Linked DNA regions of Styela clava. The protein of the gene in region 2 interacts with the protein of the main gene of each other region in a pairwise test. Links are inferred from orthologs where the notes say so. Each region holds a gene or a part of one and is shown on either strand. Other genes may lie near its edges.

Evidence for each region. The genes of interacting proteins can lie anywhere in the genome.
Region 1: the proteins of spectrin beta chain, non-erythrocytic 1-like (region 2) and uncharacterized protein LOC120331932 interact in a two-hybrid assay, tested with the Homo sapiens proteins (2 studies listed by BioGRID and IntAct). The link is inferred for Styela clava from reciprocal best matches to the Homo sapiens genes SPTBN1 and SH3BP5.

The regions. Positions count from the first base shown.
Region 1 is NC_135255.1:7,746,493-7,754,594, forward strand, and holds the start of uncharacterized protein LOC120331932, read left to right. Parts: upstream 1-4,990; 5' UTR 4,991-5,076; coding exon 5,077-5,127; intron 5,128-6,920; coding exon 6,921-7,112; intron 7,113-7,450; coding exon 7,451-7,638; intron 7,639-7,889; coding exon 7,890-8,040; intron 8,041-8,102. Other genes in the region: leucine-rich repeat-containing protein 51-like, read left to right, coding at 161-273, 592-739, 1,110-1,245, 1,633-1,781, 2,139-2,289. UniProt on the Homo sapiens protein: Functions as a guanine nucleotide exchange factor (GEF) with specificity for RAB11A and RAB25. Inhibits the auto- and transphosphorylation activity of BTK. Plays a negative regulatory role in BTK-related cytoplasmic signaling in B-cells.
Region 2 is NC_135262.1:2,863,758-2,870,765, reverse strand, and holds the start of spectrin beta chain, non-erythrocytic 1-like, read right to left. Parts: upstream 3,040-7,008; 5' UTR 2,923-3,039; intron 1,601-2,922; 5' UTR 1,571-1,600; coding exon 1,529-1,570; intron 1-1,528. UniProt on the Homo sapiens protein: Fodrin, which seems to be involved in secretion, interacts with calmodulin in a calcium-dependent manner and is thus candidate for the calcium-dependent movement of the cytoskeleton at the membrane.

The DNA of each region.
Region 1 (8,102 bases), on a different chromosome or scaffold from region 2:
TTTAAAACCATTCAAATTTACTCTATTATAATGTTGACTTACTGTGGTAATTGAATTTGATCACGCACGCACCACGGGGCAAACTTACTCACGGAGTGTGTTTCATATTGCCATACTTGATGTAGCGTACAATTGATAAGCATTATCTTTTCTAATTTAGGCAAGCTCTACACGAGATATTGGCCAATATGCAACCTGAAGAAGATATGGACGTCGCACACAAGTCGGGTCCGCCGGTGGATTTTACCTTCAGAGATTTAAGAGCTGTAACAGGTGAGCATTAGCGATATCTCTTATATTGTTTCTTTCATGACATGGAATTAAAAGTTGCGAGTTGTGTCGACTATTAGCTCATTATAATGTTATAAAAAAGTAACCGTTAAGTGAACACGGACGACAAGGTATTTCAATCCGGCTTTTCCAAATTATTAATATATTTATGAATTTAAACCCCAAATCTCAACACGCCTGGGATGACTTTAGGGGAAGAAATAAGGTCAACAAAATTGTAATTCCCCAGTCAAATGCTACGGGTACACTTAGTTAATTAATCCAAGTTAATCAAAATATGATGTATAAAATCTGATTCAGATATATGCAAAGTTGATCCACGCGAAGGACCTAATAAATACGTAAAAATTGAAGTTAAAAGAAAGAATGAAAATGACGAAGTACCTTTGTTTCCCGAGGACAATGACAAAAAGAATGATGAGCCAAGACAATTTTATAAATATTGCAGGTATATATGTATTTTTGTTTGCACTTTTTGTAAGTTTATTCTATATATTATATTCTGCATATGAATAAAATCCAAAAGACGATATCAACGGAGTGTTTATGGTGTTGAGGAAATAAATGTTGAAGGTCTCATTCTCATCTCCACCAATGTTACAACTCTCGTTCATTTATACACTGCCTGGAGAAAATACATCATCTAATTGCTATAGAATATAATTTGATCTGTCTGTTTAGTTTAGTTTACCAAACTGACTTCGTTTTTGTAAGTCATCAAAAAATATATTTCTTGACGTTCAACCCGTTGTTTATCGATAGTATATATCAGTTATCTTCACAATAAAAATATACGATTGTTTTGGTTATTTATTTAGCAAAGCAATAAAGCTTGGGAACAACTCACTAGCTAGACTTGAGAACTTCAGCAGCGGATTACAGGCAGTTCTTGAAGATCCAGAATCGATTGAATGGATCGACTTGTCATTCAATGATTTAACAAAGATTGATAACGTGAGTTAAATAAGTCATGTTAAATTTTGTTATCAGAATCTACAAAGTTTCGAAGACAAGTAAATAAATAAGTAGCTCATTGACACCAAGGTTACTTTTCAAATGTATATATATTTTTATTAAAGTATAATGTGTATCTGATTAGATGTTACAAAATATTTGTCATTTGTGTCATTTCAATATTCATTTCCTTCGTTGCTACAAATCTTTGATTTTGCCTTGTTTCTTTTTTGTATCATGATTTGTATCATTTTCTTTTGAAATTATTTTATATTTTTATTCCTTCCGTTCGAAACTTTGATACAAATTTCTAATTATATATTCAAATATAACCAAATATTTTCTAATATATCTGAATCCACTTTTACAATGAATAACATTTTTCAGGTTATCTTAGAATATCCAAATTTGAAAGTTCTTTACCTTCATGCGAATTACATTGATGATCTGAAACAAGTCGATAAACTAGCTGCACTTCCTCATCTCAAAACTTTAACCCTGCACGGAAATATGATTGAGGGAAAGAAAGGATACAGGTATATTGCTATGGTTATTCGCACTCTCTAGGTAGTGCCTCTAGGTAGTTAATATCTGCCATTCATTTATGTGACCCGTTCGTCAAGTATGACTTATATAACTATCATTACGGCAGAGTGAGATCGCCATGTTGGAGAACAGATGTGTACCGTATCACCTAATTTCGTCCTATCCCTGAAACATATTTCTGAAGTTTAAACAAATTCATTTTAGAAACAACTCATTTGAAGTTTGTTTTATACATTGGATCATTGTTAAAACCACGAATTGGAAATTTGAAATCGCGCATTATTTCTATGCGTTTTTCTTCATAATTTTTTGCTTTCCCTAACAACTTATACCTTATTTATTTTCAGGCAATATGTGATAATGACAATCCCGCAACTTCAGTATTTCGATTTCAGTCGAATAACAAAAGCAGATAGGGACAAAGCACAAGTTTGGAGGAAATTGAAGCTCATTGAATCAACTACTCACAAAAAGAAACCAAAAGCGGCCGAAGCATGAATAAAGAACAAGATATTGTCCAAGGCCAATTCCACTGCTTCTTACTTTGATACTATTTCTTCTTTTATGTATAGCTAGTCCAAAACTTTTACAAAATTTCATTAGAGTGAGTCATAGGTAGAACTCACTGTTGAACTCAGAAATTATACCATCTCCCAAGCTTCAACACGCCTGTTATTAGAAAGTGGTTAACCTAGTTGGCTGTACCCAATAGCCCTGAATTTTTGATCAGTCACAACAAATTATGTGTTTTTTATTCGCGAATTTTTGCGTATTGTTCTATGGCTATGCGATAGAAGGTTTGTGCATTATGTACCATGGAATATTTGCTTGTTAGCCCGCAGTCAGCTCTTCTCTGCATATGGTTCTGCACTTCATCTGGCTTAAGTCAACATTGACCAGTGATTTCCCTACACCCCCCCTATAGGGGGTGAACACCCCCCCTAAAATTTCAAACACCCCCCCTAATTTTGAGGTGCGATTCCACACTGAGGGGTTCTAAACCGCAGTCTGCGGGTCAATTACGGCCCGCGTGACGATTTAAAATGGCCCGCCGAACTTGAGTGAAATAGTTTAACACTTCATGTGGTACCTTTTGAGTTTTAGATACCGTCTATTGTTACATCATTATCACAGTTTAAGCACGTTTATTTCGTAACAATTGAATTATTTATTCTATCAGCTAAATATTATAATAATTGATTTTATTACATAACAAACTGCGATGCTAGGTGTATCTAAAATCAAGCTTAGAGCATATTTTGGTGCCTATTTCTCAAAATTTTCCCCCAGCCGTGTCGTCCCGCATTTTTCCTCGCTCCCCTTTTCTGGCCCTACAATTTCATTCTGCTGTGGATTTTGGCTCGCCGTCAATCAACTTGGGGGGCCCCCCATGTACATCATTTCCTAAATACATACCATTTTTTTAAGAATACAAATAGCCTAGTTTTATCTCTAATAGCAAATTATTTACCACCCCCTAAATTTTGAAACACCCCCCCCCCCCCCCCCCCCTAAAGAGAAAAGCTGGGGAACATACTGACATTGACTATTGGTGGACTCACTTTTCGAGGTCACTTTTGATCAAATATTTATACCAAACTTGTCCATGGGACATATTTTCTGACCAATTCTATACCATGCGACGTTTCCCATGAGACATAAATTTTTTGTCCCATCACATTGCAAGTTATGCCTGTCCCATCCCATGGGAAGGTCTCTCACGGAAATGCCTGGTTGATACAAATTAGAAAATTTGCATTTATGTGTCTAGCGTAAATGATGCACATCCCGATGGTAATGGATTCGTGTGGTTGAATATAATTCTGGGTGATTTTTAGGAATACCTATTTTGGCATTGTGTCAAAATGTATCGAATCTAAACGTAGTCATATGAATGTTGCTTTTCTTTCAGTTTGCGTGCCAACTGGCGATAATATAAATTTCACCTTTGAGCAGTGTTACAAATGTTATCAGATTTATATTGTTTATATAGTGTTTTCTTTGTTTGTCGCCAGTATTATTACATCACGTTACAGAGTACATTGCATTTTCTTTTCTGTTGAGCATTCAGATTTTATCAGTCAACTCTAACTCCGGTGAGCATTCAAGCATCATAGTACATTTCTTCTATTTCATAACTCAAACTTTTACTTACTTCAGAATTCTACACTGCCATTAATAGTGTAGATCTTTTCTTCTCACATTTTTTCCCTGGCGCACAATGATAGAGAAGTAAGCATCACAGCAGGCCTACAATTCCGAAATCATTTTTCATTATTTTGTATATAGGGTATACATTTTTAGGCAAGATGCTGCTAAGTTTGCGAATTAAGTATCCCTAATTCCGGCAAATAAAAAGCTTGTTAATATAAATGTTGGAATATTTTGCGCCAGTTGTAATTTTGATATGAAACACCATTATTAATTCCATCATTTTTTTGCGCATCCAAAAAGATATTTTCGGGTACATATACAGACTAACTATAAATGATATACCTAAATTAAAAGAATATACATATATGCTGATCTTGTACGGTCGCTTGTTGTAGATAAGCACATGTCATGATTGAACAAGCGTGAAATATCTGCTCTATTTCATAATGAAACTGCAATACGAAGGGTAATCGTTGCAAAGGAGTGTGCTTGTACCAGGTGCGAGAATGCATTTGGGTTACTGATTAACATCAACATCATAGTGTTTGTATTGTTTCCGAGCAATGATAAAATACTTTCGCTATGCCAAGAACGGGTCTCACTTGGACTGCAACACCTCGATTAAACAAATTCAGCAAGGAGTATGTATATACGACAGAAACAGTGTTGTAACTATTGTTGTTAACGGGATTATTTCTGTTGTAACAGTTGTTTTTCATTACTTATATTATTAGTTTTTAGTTATACAATAGATTCAAGCCCCAATGGATGCAGAATATTTCTCGATCTCATTATTACTAGTATTATCAATTGAGTTACTCAAAGCTTAGATAAGCGCGTTGTTACAAGAAAGAAAACACATCACCAAGATTTTTCTCACATTATTGTTTCACAAGGTTAAAAAATCCGTAAATAAAAACAATCCACATACAATATGCTGAATCTAAACAGCCGAAATAGATAGCGACAAGGCGTTTTTTTATGTCAGTCGCATCTGGGCGACAAAGAGTTGCTTGAAAAGGCATAAAATGCACAGTTTCTTATTAGGTTCACTAACTAATTGAAAAATCAATTATTCTAATTCAAACTAATGCATTGTGGCAAATATTTGACAAGGTATCAAAAAGGAATATGTCTGAGGAAGATGATGTTTTTGATGATGAAATTGATCCAAGAATAAAGGTTCGTAATATTCAAATTGATAGTTACAAATTGATAGAATACTTAATAAATCTAGCTTTACGTTAACTCGAGCAAAATAGTTATTTGAATTCCAACCTAACTGATCAGAAAAGAATGAAATATTATATTCTATATTCGGTGTGGTCGAGTGATTTAGTATGATAGATGTTTCTGACTGAGCGGAAATTAACGCTTGCTACAGTAGGTTGAAAAGGTCTTGAAAAGCACCTTATTCGAGAAATGATTCATGTTCAATTCTATAAAAGTATATTTTATATATTATTCACGTTTCATCGTTAACAAAATATTTTGTATACAGTAAATTAGGTTGTTTCTTAAAACATTTTTTATCCAACTCATTTTTTGGATTTTGGGGTGATAAATGTATTCGTATCCTCCAATTACATCTGAATAATTTTTGCCTAAAAACTTTCTGATTTTTGTGCGGTTACGCATGTTCTAATAAATATAATTTTGTCGATATATGCTTTTCGACAATAGCACTCACAAATGAATATAATATGCCACATTCCAGTCCTCTTTTCAATAACACATTTTTAGCAAATGCTAATTTTATAGAAAATCGATAATTGCCCTTGAATTCCCCCATAATTCCATAATATTAAATAAATAAAAAGAGAATGAGATAATAAAATTTAATATTTCATTGGTGAAGAGAGAATAAATTTTCACCTGAAAGTTATGCTTGACATCTCGATGTCATCGTTCTGACACCATATCAATCATTCAGAAGCCAAAACAAAAGCACGGATTTTACTTCTCCTGGAACCTGCGCTTAATAATGCTGTTGTAGATTAGCCCGATTTTACCGAAAAGAAATTATCTCGGCAAAATCTCTCCTGGGAATACGATCGAGTCGCAAGATTAATTTTCGGTTCACGCTAAATTCAGTCATTTTTTTTTGTTTTAGACGAAAAAAAAACGCGAATTACGTGAGCCATTCCTATCTACTACTTGATTATAATAACCACAGTGACGCCATCGACAGCGATTTTTTGCGTAAACTCATTTGTGAGAACATTGCTGCCCTCAAACTCAGAACTTTAGTTCAAGTATTGTTAGTACATATATAAATTTAGTACATTCAAAGCGGGTTTATTTTTTCCACCATCATTTTATTTTGCTGACCTACAATAAATTTCCATTGTCGATAATTGGTGGGAAAATCATTCGAATGACACTTTTAACCCGATGTTCGTAGTCGAAGCTGACATACGGTTCAACACAGCAAGATCTAAATAAATAATGAAGTTACAATAATACGCAAAATCATTAAAATAGAATTTAATACCGACTTAGGAAAAATATACTTCTGAATTTGCACACACATTATATACGGTACCAGTATCTGTACTTTTGTGGTCTCCGTGGTTTATGAAATAACAGTCAGGACCAAAGTAGTTCGGCATTTAAATAAACCGTAACGTGATTAGTAATTTTATCCTTCCAGAAAAAAGTTATACACTGTGAAAAAAAATCGTGATTTTATTTTTATTTTGTGATAATTGTGGACGTGTTTTTTACCTAATTGAAATTTGATGGCGTATTGATGCCTGAAGCCAAAGAGTGTGTGAGCAATGGAAATTATCACATTTTTCGCTCAGGATGACGGTCTTTTTTTAACAATTTCCGATATTCTAAACAGCGAGCAGTAGTTATTTCAAACTTTTTTCAACCGTTTGTTCGTGGGCATATTGAATATATTTAATACCTTGCTTCTTTCGTTTTTTCGATAATTAACAATGATAGTATTTGTGTAATTCCACTTTCAGGGAGAGCTTGACACTCTTAATCAGTCTACTGATGAAATAAATAAGTTGGAAACAGAGCTGAATGAATATCGAGAAAAGTTCAAGGCATCTCTCGCTAGTGCGACACAACAGCTGCAAAAATTAACGAAAAAATATGGCAAGTCTATTGAACGAGCAAGACCGTATTATGAAACTAAGGCACAAGTTTCTCAGGTACTCTATGGCCAGTCAATTGTTGAATCCGTGGCTCAAAGGGATATGTCGAATTATACCGATTATGATATTTCCTAACAAAATAGTTCTCTTCTTTCAAATCACCCAGTATATAATCTGTTAAAAGTAGAAATATTATACAAGTTATATCAAAATAAATTCAGTGAATTTCTTGGCCTAATCTTTGACGTACAAGTACAACACGCTATGCCAATTTACAAACAAAGTTACTAAGCTTTTAAAATTCTGAATTTAAACAAAATCATGATATTACTTTTGCAACACGGAAATTGATTGTAGCAAATATGGAAATTCGTTTTTTCTTATATGTCACATAGGCGCAGTTAGCACTTCAAAGAGCTGTTCATAATTTTCAACGAGCAAATGGAGTTTATCGAGCGGCAAAAGAAACAATCGCTTTAGCGGAAAGTCGCTTGAGCGAACTCGACGATAAAAAAGTCGATATGGCTTGGCAAGAAATGTTAAATCTTCAAACTATAAGATTTATGGATGCTGAGAGGGACAGGTAATTATATTATATTTATAATAACTTGGAAGTTATTGTTTATGAATCATTTATTCAAACTATTTTGTGAAATATCGGATAAAATATCTATATCATTGACAATTTATTTCTGTTTCAATTTGTAATAATTTGACTGTTCCCAGTCAATATTCGACACAAAATACAACCAAAAATTCGTGTACAAGTCAGTTACACATTTCATATTTCAGATATTCATAAATTCTCCAACTTTTTCTTAAAATATATCTCAGAACTCGAAGCGAAAGTCTTCATCAACGAGCGACCAAAAGATTTCAATTCCTCGACGGCAAGCTACAAGCACATCATAGAAAACATAAAAATTCAACAAAGAAAACAAAACCTTACTTTGAGTTGAAAGAACTTCTTGAAGTTGATTTGCAAGTAAAATTTTCCACCTATTTATTCATGATTTAGTTGTGCTTGTAGAAATAAATCAATCACGT
Region 2 (7,008 bases):
GCTTCAAAACGAACCAAAATGTATATGCTCTCTAAAGCAGTGGAAATTAGCCAGTGGGACGCACCCCAAAAGAGGGGCGTAGACAATATTTTGAGGGGGCATGTGGCTAATTGAAATAAAATTATTTGTTAAATTTGATCTTGCCCGCCTTATTTTGTCTATTTACCTTACTTTTTCTCATTCTGGATATTTAAATGTTCTATCCACATATCTTCAACGTGTTTTTCGAACAAAACATACTTTCTAACTGTTATTTGTAATTGTAGCTTATTGTTAGCTACCGGTAGTTATTTTTGAGGTGGGGCGCGAGACTTAAAAAATTCTAAAATTTATATGTGGGGCGGCCTAAAATGTTTGAGAACCACTGGTCTAAATTTGGGGCTCCCGAAGTCTGCGAACCAAGATGGCGGACATCGGAACGTAACATGGGTAACAGGTTAGGGCTAGGCGATAATTTTTCTCCAATTTTCCTTATTTTAGTCCTATTATCCGTTCGAAGACTAGCCAAGAGCCTCCCGTAGCATTTATACCTAAAATTATGGCCTAACCCTAACCTAGTACACATATTACATTCCGATGTCCGCCATCTTGGTTCGCATACTTCGGGAGCCCCCTAAATTTAGTATATTTGATTTGATAAACTCCTTAGTTTCTTTACCGTAAATATTTGGAATATTTATTAACGGCATGGACACCAAAAGCAACAAACGAGCACACCCAAACCATGACAGCATATGAAGATTATGATTACTTGCTCTAATCCAGGGTCGTTCAACATATTTTGTCGTCGGGGCACATTGGAACCTCAAGTTGGGCCACACAAAAAAATTAGTATTCCATATGAATTCCGACAAAAAATTATCACAATGCAATATTTAACCCAGTGACAAGACAATTTCTATTCATGTGAGTGATTAGGATTTTATGCTTGATGAGGAAAAATCTAAGTGTTGACAAGGCTCACACTAAATGACTCGGCTTCAGTTGGCGGGTCAGTTGTTGGCCCGTTGGCCACCTGTTGCACACCCCTGCTCTAAGCGAACCAAAAACTGGAATATATTCAAAATTAGTTATGTTCTAAAAAGTTAATTCTTGATATTAAAAATGATTAGATATATTTTAATTTTAATAATGTGATTCTACATACCGTAATTGAGATTAGAAATTCCTGGTTTGCTAATTAGATAATTAAGTTCTTATAATTGTGGAAAACCAATCAATAAAACCTCCGCTTCATCATAACTTGTTTTTTCACTACAAAATCAATAATAGAATCAATATTCTGTTGCCGTGCTTATGACGAAATTCAAAAATACAAAAAGTATTCAAAATAGTAAATTATTTTCTTTTAGCATATTTACTAGAAAAAAAATGGATAAAAAATTCTAATGGAAGCCCAAAGTTTAAACTTGCAATGTCTTTTAATGTGAATTTATGTTAGACTAATGTCACCCTTAGCAGAAGCTGACATTACTATGACATCACAACGAAGCATGCGAGATGATATTGTGACACAACAAAAACTTACTTCTCTTTCAAACGGCTCCATCTTGGCTAAAGAAACAGACATTTTATGGTTTTAAACAATTCCTCGTGAGAGCTTGCAAAATTAAAAATTAAAGAAATCAATATGTTATAAAGAAATATTGTATCTAGTAGTGAGACTTCTTGAACACGGAATTTGTCTTTCTAGATAAGATAATCTGTTAGTCTAATAATGCATTAATTACATATCTTTACTCTGAGGTAAGGTGAGGTGAGTAGACACCGATTATATAGATATCCTTGTTTGAGTGAAGATATAAAAAAAACTCCTATAAATGTAATAGGCTATATCAAATATTGTAAAAAATTATAGTATGTTTCCAAGCACTCACACATAAGAAACTCCTAAGAAAGCAAAGAAATTATGAAGAACCCAAGGTATATGAACTACTGCTCAAATTTTTAAAAAATGTTGCCTTCAACATGAAAATTGAATCGATTAAGTAAAAATTAGTAAATTAAAAATAATGATTACCGGTATGTAAAATCCATGATCATTCAAGTGTTCAAAAGTAAACAAATTTTCATAAATTCCATAAATTATATCATAATTTAAAAAACATGGAATAATAATTGTATAATTGATTTATGATATTATAGCAATTGAAAATACTTGTTCTAAATCTAAAGTACATGAAATATAATTAACTCAAGTAGACCGCAAAGTACTCTCTTTGACACCAGATAACTCTCGAGTGTTGCAAATATTGACAAACTATATCCGGACACACCTATGTCTGCCGTCTAAACGGTATATCCAAATAAAAAGCTTGTATCAATGGCTATTTATTAAAGAATGTGTTATAAGAAATTTAGAAACTTTTTGCTTATTAAAAGTCTAGTTAATAAAAATCTGGTTCTTCTATTATTAATAATGATGCTTAAAGTGCACAACACGTCCTCTTGAAATTTTTTCATTAAAAATTTGAACATTTTTGATGGTTAGGTCCTGAAAAAAGACACGTTTTCAATTTCAAACTGAACAAAATTTACTCAAAAAAAAGAAATTCTGATAGAGGTGTCGAGAAATTCAGTTTCGAGAAATGTGTGAAATAATTGGAAAATAATTTATTATCGAAATAATATAAATTTAAGAATCATTCACTTTTGTTTGGCAATTTAATTTAATCAAATTTGAGCCATTTTGTCCCTATAAATGGGACCTTAATAGTAAATGAGTCTTCATTGTTTTAATAATTGAATAAAACAATTGAAACCTTCTTGCATTACAAAAAAAAATGAAAATTACACTGAAATTAAACATCATGATAATCATGATAATCTTCATTAATATTCAAAAATAATGAAAAACGAAATTTAGAGCATAGTCAAATAATCATAAACTATAACTAAATGAATCTTTAAAAATGTCCTCACCTGCTTAGCTCTTCACAAAAAAGTGCCACCTAGTGTCAAAGAATCCAGAAGATGACGAGATGAAGAAGTATTGCTTTACAACCAAGCTAATCAATTGTATTTTCATACACTAACATTTAAAACTGAAAGATATAAGAATTTTAGTACTTAGATGAAAAAGATCGAAAAACAGGCATTTTGGGAAAAATTTAATACCGACAATGCAATAAAATGAGTTTTAGAATCTCTTTCACCATCAAAGGCACAAAAACAGACTCAGAAATGGAAATCTCATACAAAGGAAAAGCAGCAAATGAATACTGTCTAAATCAGGGTGGTCCAAACCCAGGCCCAGCTTCATTATCTGTGGCCCGCATCATATTCTGAAAGTAATCAAGAAATCGCACTCCGTGTTGTTTTGTCATAAAATTAATCAGAAAAACCTTTTGACATATTGTTACATCAATAATGTCACTGAATGGACTAGTGTTATGGCTATCTGAGGCAACTAGCGAAGTTGAATGATGTGCTTGGCAGTCTAAATTATTATCTGGCTTTCTATCTTTTTGGTTGGGAATATATGCTTACAATATAGGCATCATAGAAAACTAAAAATCGAATGCGGATTCTATTAGCCCGGAATGGCTATGTCTGATAACTATGTGTTTGCACAATAAAGTATTCGATTTGTATTGCATTGTTTACCTATTCTTGGCACTATTGTGGCCCGCGAACAATGCAGAAATAATTTTGTGGCCCGCAGAGCCGACAACTTTGGAAAACCCTGGTCTAAATGATATTTCATTACATTGCAAAATGCTATCTCTGACATGGGTAAAATACGGCACACGGGCCAAATTCAATCTGGCCTGCCTGATGCTGCCACAATCCAACAAAAACCAAATTCTGATGTTTTAGCTAAAAAAAATAGCCCAAAGAATTTGTTGTGATTGCGATTGAATTTAGTTTGGGCTCAAATTGAGTACCAAATATGGTGCTCCCGAAGTATTCGTATCAAAATGGCGCACAACCTGAGCATAGTATGTGTATCAGGTTAGGGTTTTCAGGTTGTGCGACTTCTTGGTACAAATGCTTCAGGAGCGCCCCAAATATATTATAAGCTTCCATCTTTCTCAAAATGAATGCAAAAAATATTACGTTCCACCTTGCAGAATTGGAACTGCTTTCCTAAAAAATAAATCTCAAATTTATTAGTGTAGAATGTTCAGACACCTTAATTGAGTGAACCTTGTCTAGACAAATTTGTAAATATTTACACGAAGATGTTTTCTTGTTTACATTCGTGCGATCAAAAAGATTTAGGAGATTTTATGGATCACCTCACACCCATGGCTTTAGCTAACAGAAATTTTTACATTTAAATTGATCAATATACAGTATTGTGAGCATACAGGAAAAGATTTACTGCAAAACAGCCCTTCAACAGTGAATTTATAAAAATTCGCATATAAGCTGACCCTACAAATCATAACACGCTGCACCTACCACAAAAAAACGGTTGTAGAAGAGAATTACTGAAAATGATAACCATTATTCTTATGTTTAACTTTTATCAAGTTATGCGCTCTAAGACCCCTTTGTTTGGCAACTTTTTTTTTAGTTTAAACTCTGCTTATATGTGAGGATATATAGATAAATAAAGAATTTTACAGCGCTCCCGAAATATGTGCACAACCTGAACCCTAACCTGGTACACATACTATGTTTAGGTTGTGCGCCATCTTTGTGCACATACTTCTGGAGCTTCGAAAATTATACATTCCAGTCAGCTACCGGTATATAATTATAATAAAAAAATAATAAAAAGTAGAGATACTAGAATACCAAACCCCCAAAAATGTAATTGTACCATTGGTTAAAAAAAAAATTGGCATACATCCAAGTTAATCCAACCACAAACATTAAAAATATGAAAATGAAAAAATACATTTTATAGGCACATCCCATGCAGCAGCGCTTAAAATCAAGTCTACTGTTTATATGGTATTATTAAGCCCTCTAAAGAGTTTTACTCAAATGGTGATTGGAACTATATATCCATTCCTATTCCTAACTTGTCGACAGCCCAATAACCATTCACAGAACGGGAGACATTGAGATATAAATTGGGACCATATCCATTCTTATGAAAATGAAAAATAGAACAATCCTCAAATCAACTGCATGACTTAGTTCTATAACCCTACTTTTTACAATTTGAATATAAATTTTACATTCCATAATAAATGACATGATAGACTTTTAAATTCCATCTAGATGAACAGAGATATTACAGACACATCTTGAGAGATAATTACAGCTTTATATAAGTCTTAACATATCATTATAAGTCTAACATATCATTATAGCTTATACAATTCATATCAAGAAAAACAGAAAATTGAGGGCAATTTCAGTGTAAATATGAGCAACTAATATTCAGACATTTTGCAGCGATTTCCTATAATGATGGCCATGTGGTTAGAGCAGTGGTTGCGAACCTTTTTGGTGAAGCTCGAGTCCAACTCCAGAATTTCATCCTAATTTATTACACTCTTGAGGTGGCGACATGGGATTTGGACCTGAAATCTGCCCTTTCACAATTTAACAGCAATACCTGAAGCCTTTTCTGCAAAAATAATACCAACAAGAATTCACTTCAAAATGATCATTATCAAACTTTAATTTTAGTCTGTTTGTGCCTGAAGCAGTTTTGTGGTAAATTTCGATGTAACTTGATACTATATTTTACAAAAAGCATAACTTGTTACCGATAAGCTTCAATCTCAATACTGAGAAGTAAAGGAGTATGGCAAAGCTAAACGTTTCACGGAATAAAAACATGAAAGAAAACTGTAAAATATTATGGTCTAACCCTAACCTACGCTAACAACGGAAGTTCCGAAAATTTGAACTCCATGAACCTTAGTTTACGCACGTAATATATTGACAGACTCCCGAAATTAACCGACAATGACAATCTCGTTCTTTTCAAAATCAAAACCATGCAGATACACACACTCGCCACACAATGAACCATCTTATTCATGTGTAAAATTATCCTTTTATACGCATCGTACGGCTCACTGCTTCACAAAAACGAAACATGACAATTACTATGTAGAAGAAATCACAATAACAGCGCGAATACAACGATTACGACATCACTTCGACTGAAATTTGCAGAAAAACAAAAGATTTAAATCAGTGAAGCGTAAATGAGAGTCCTTCAGAAAATTAATTCCGGATAATAAAATACCGATGAGTAAAATTGTTAAGTAAATAGAATTGGCGATTTTAAGAAAACTGAAGTGGAATAAATGCTCACTTATAAAAATAAAACAAAAATAATTAAATATCATTCAGACTTCAGAGATTCCTTTTTAAAACTGGGGATGATGGATTAGGAATACTCATATTTATCCCAGATACGGAAAAGTCAACAAGACAGCTTAATCATAATATGTCAGGCATGATTCCTTGTTTGATTGTCAGTTTAAGTCAGTGTCAGACAGAATATTCTGAATCGAAACCAAGTGTAATAATTCTGGTATTTGACTTTCCGTTTTAAATTGATTAAGTTTGGACTTGTCAACTGAGCTAGATAAGATATAGTGAATGAGTATTTCATATCCCATCTTAAGATGAGAAGATATTTGTCATTGCAGCAGACTTATATTGAAATGCTGATGGCTTTCTACACTATCAAGTCCATGCAATTTAAAAAGTAACAGGCTAATGATTCCCTTACCCAATATAGACTGACAAATGTACAAGAGATCATGGTTTGGCATATCATAATGTCAGTTAGTCATATCATCAACTTTCCTCTCCCATAAGATAAAAAAAAACTATTCCATAAAATAAAGACTTGCATGCTTTAAGTTAAAGATAGGTAAAATGGTGCTCCTGAAGTATGGGAAGCAAGATTGCGGACATCGGAACGTAACATGGGTAACAGGTTAGGGTTAGGCGATAATTTTTTTCCAATTTTCCTTATTTTAGTCCTATTATCAGTTCGAAGACTAGCCAAGAGCCTCTCGTAGTATTTATACCTAAAATTATGGCCTAACCCTAACCTAGTACACATATTACATTCCGATGTCC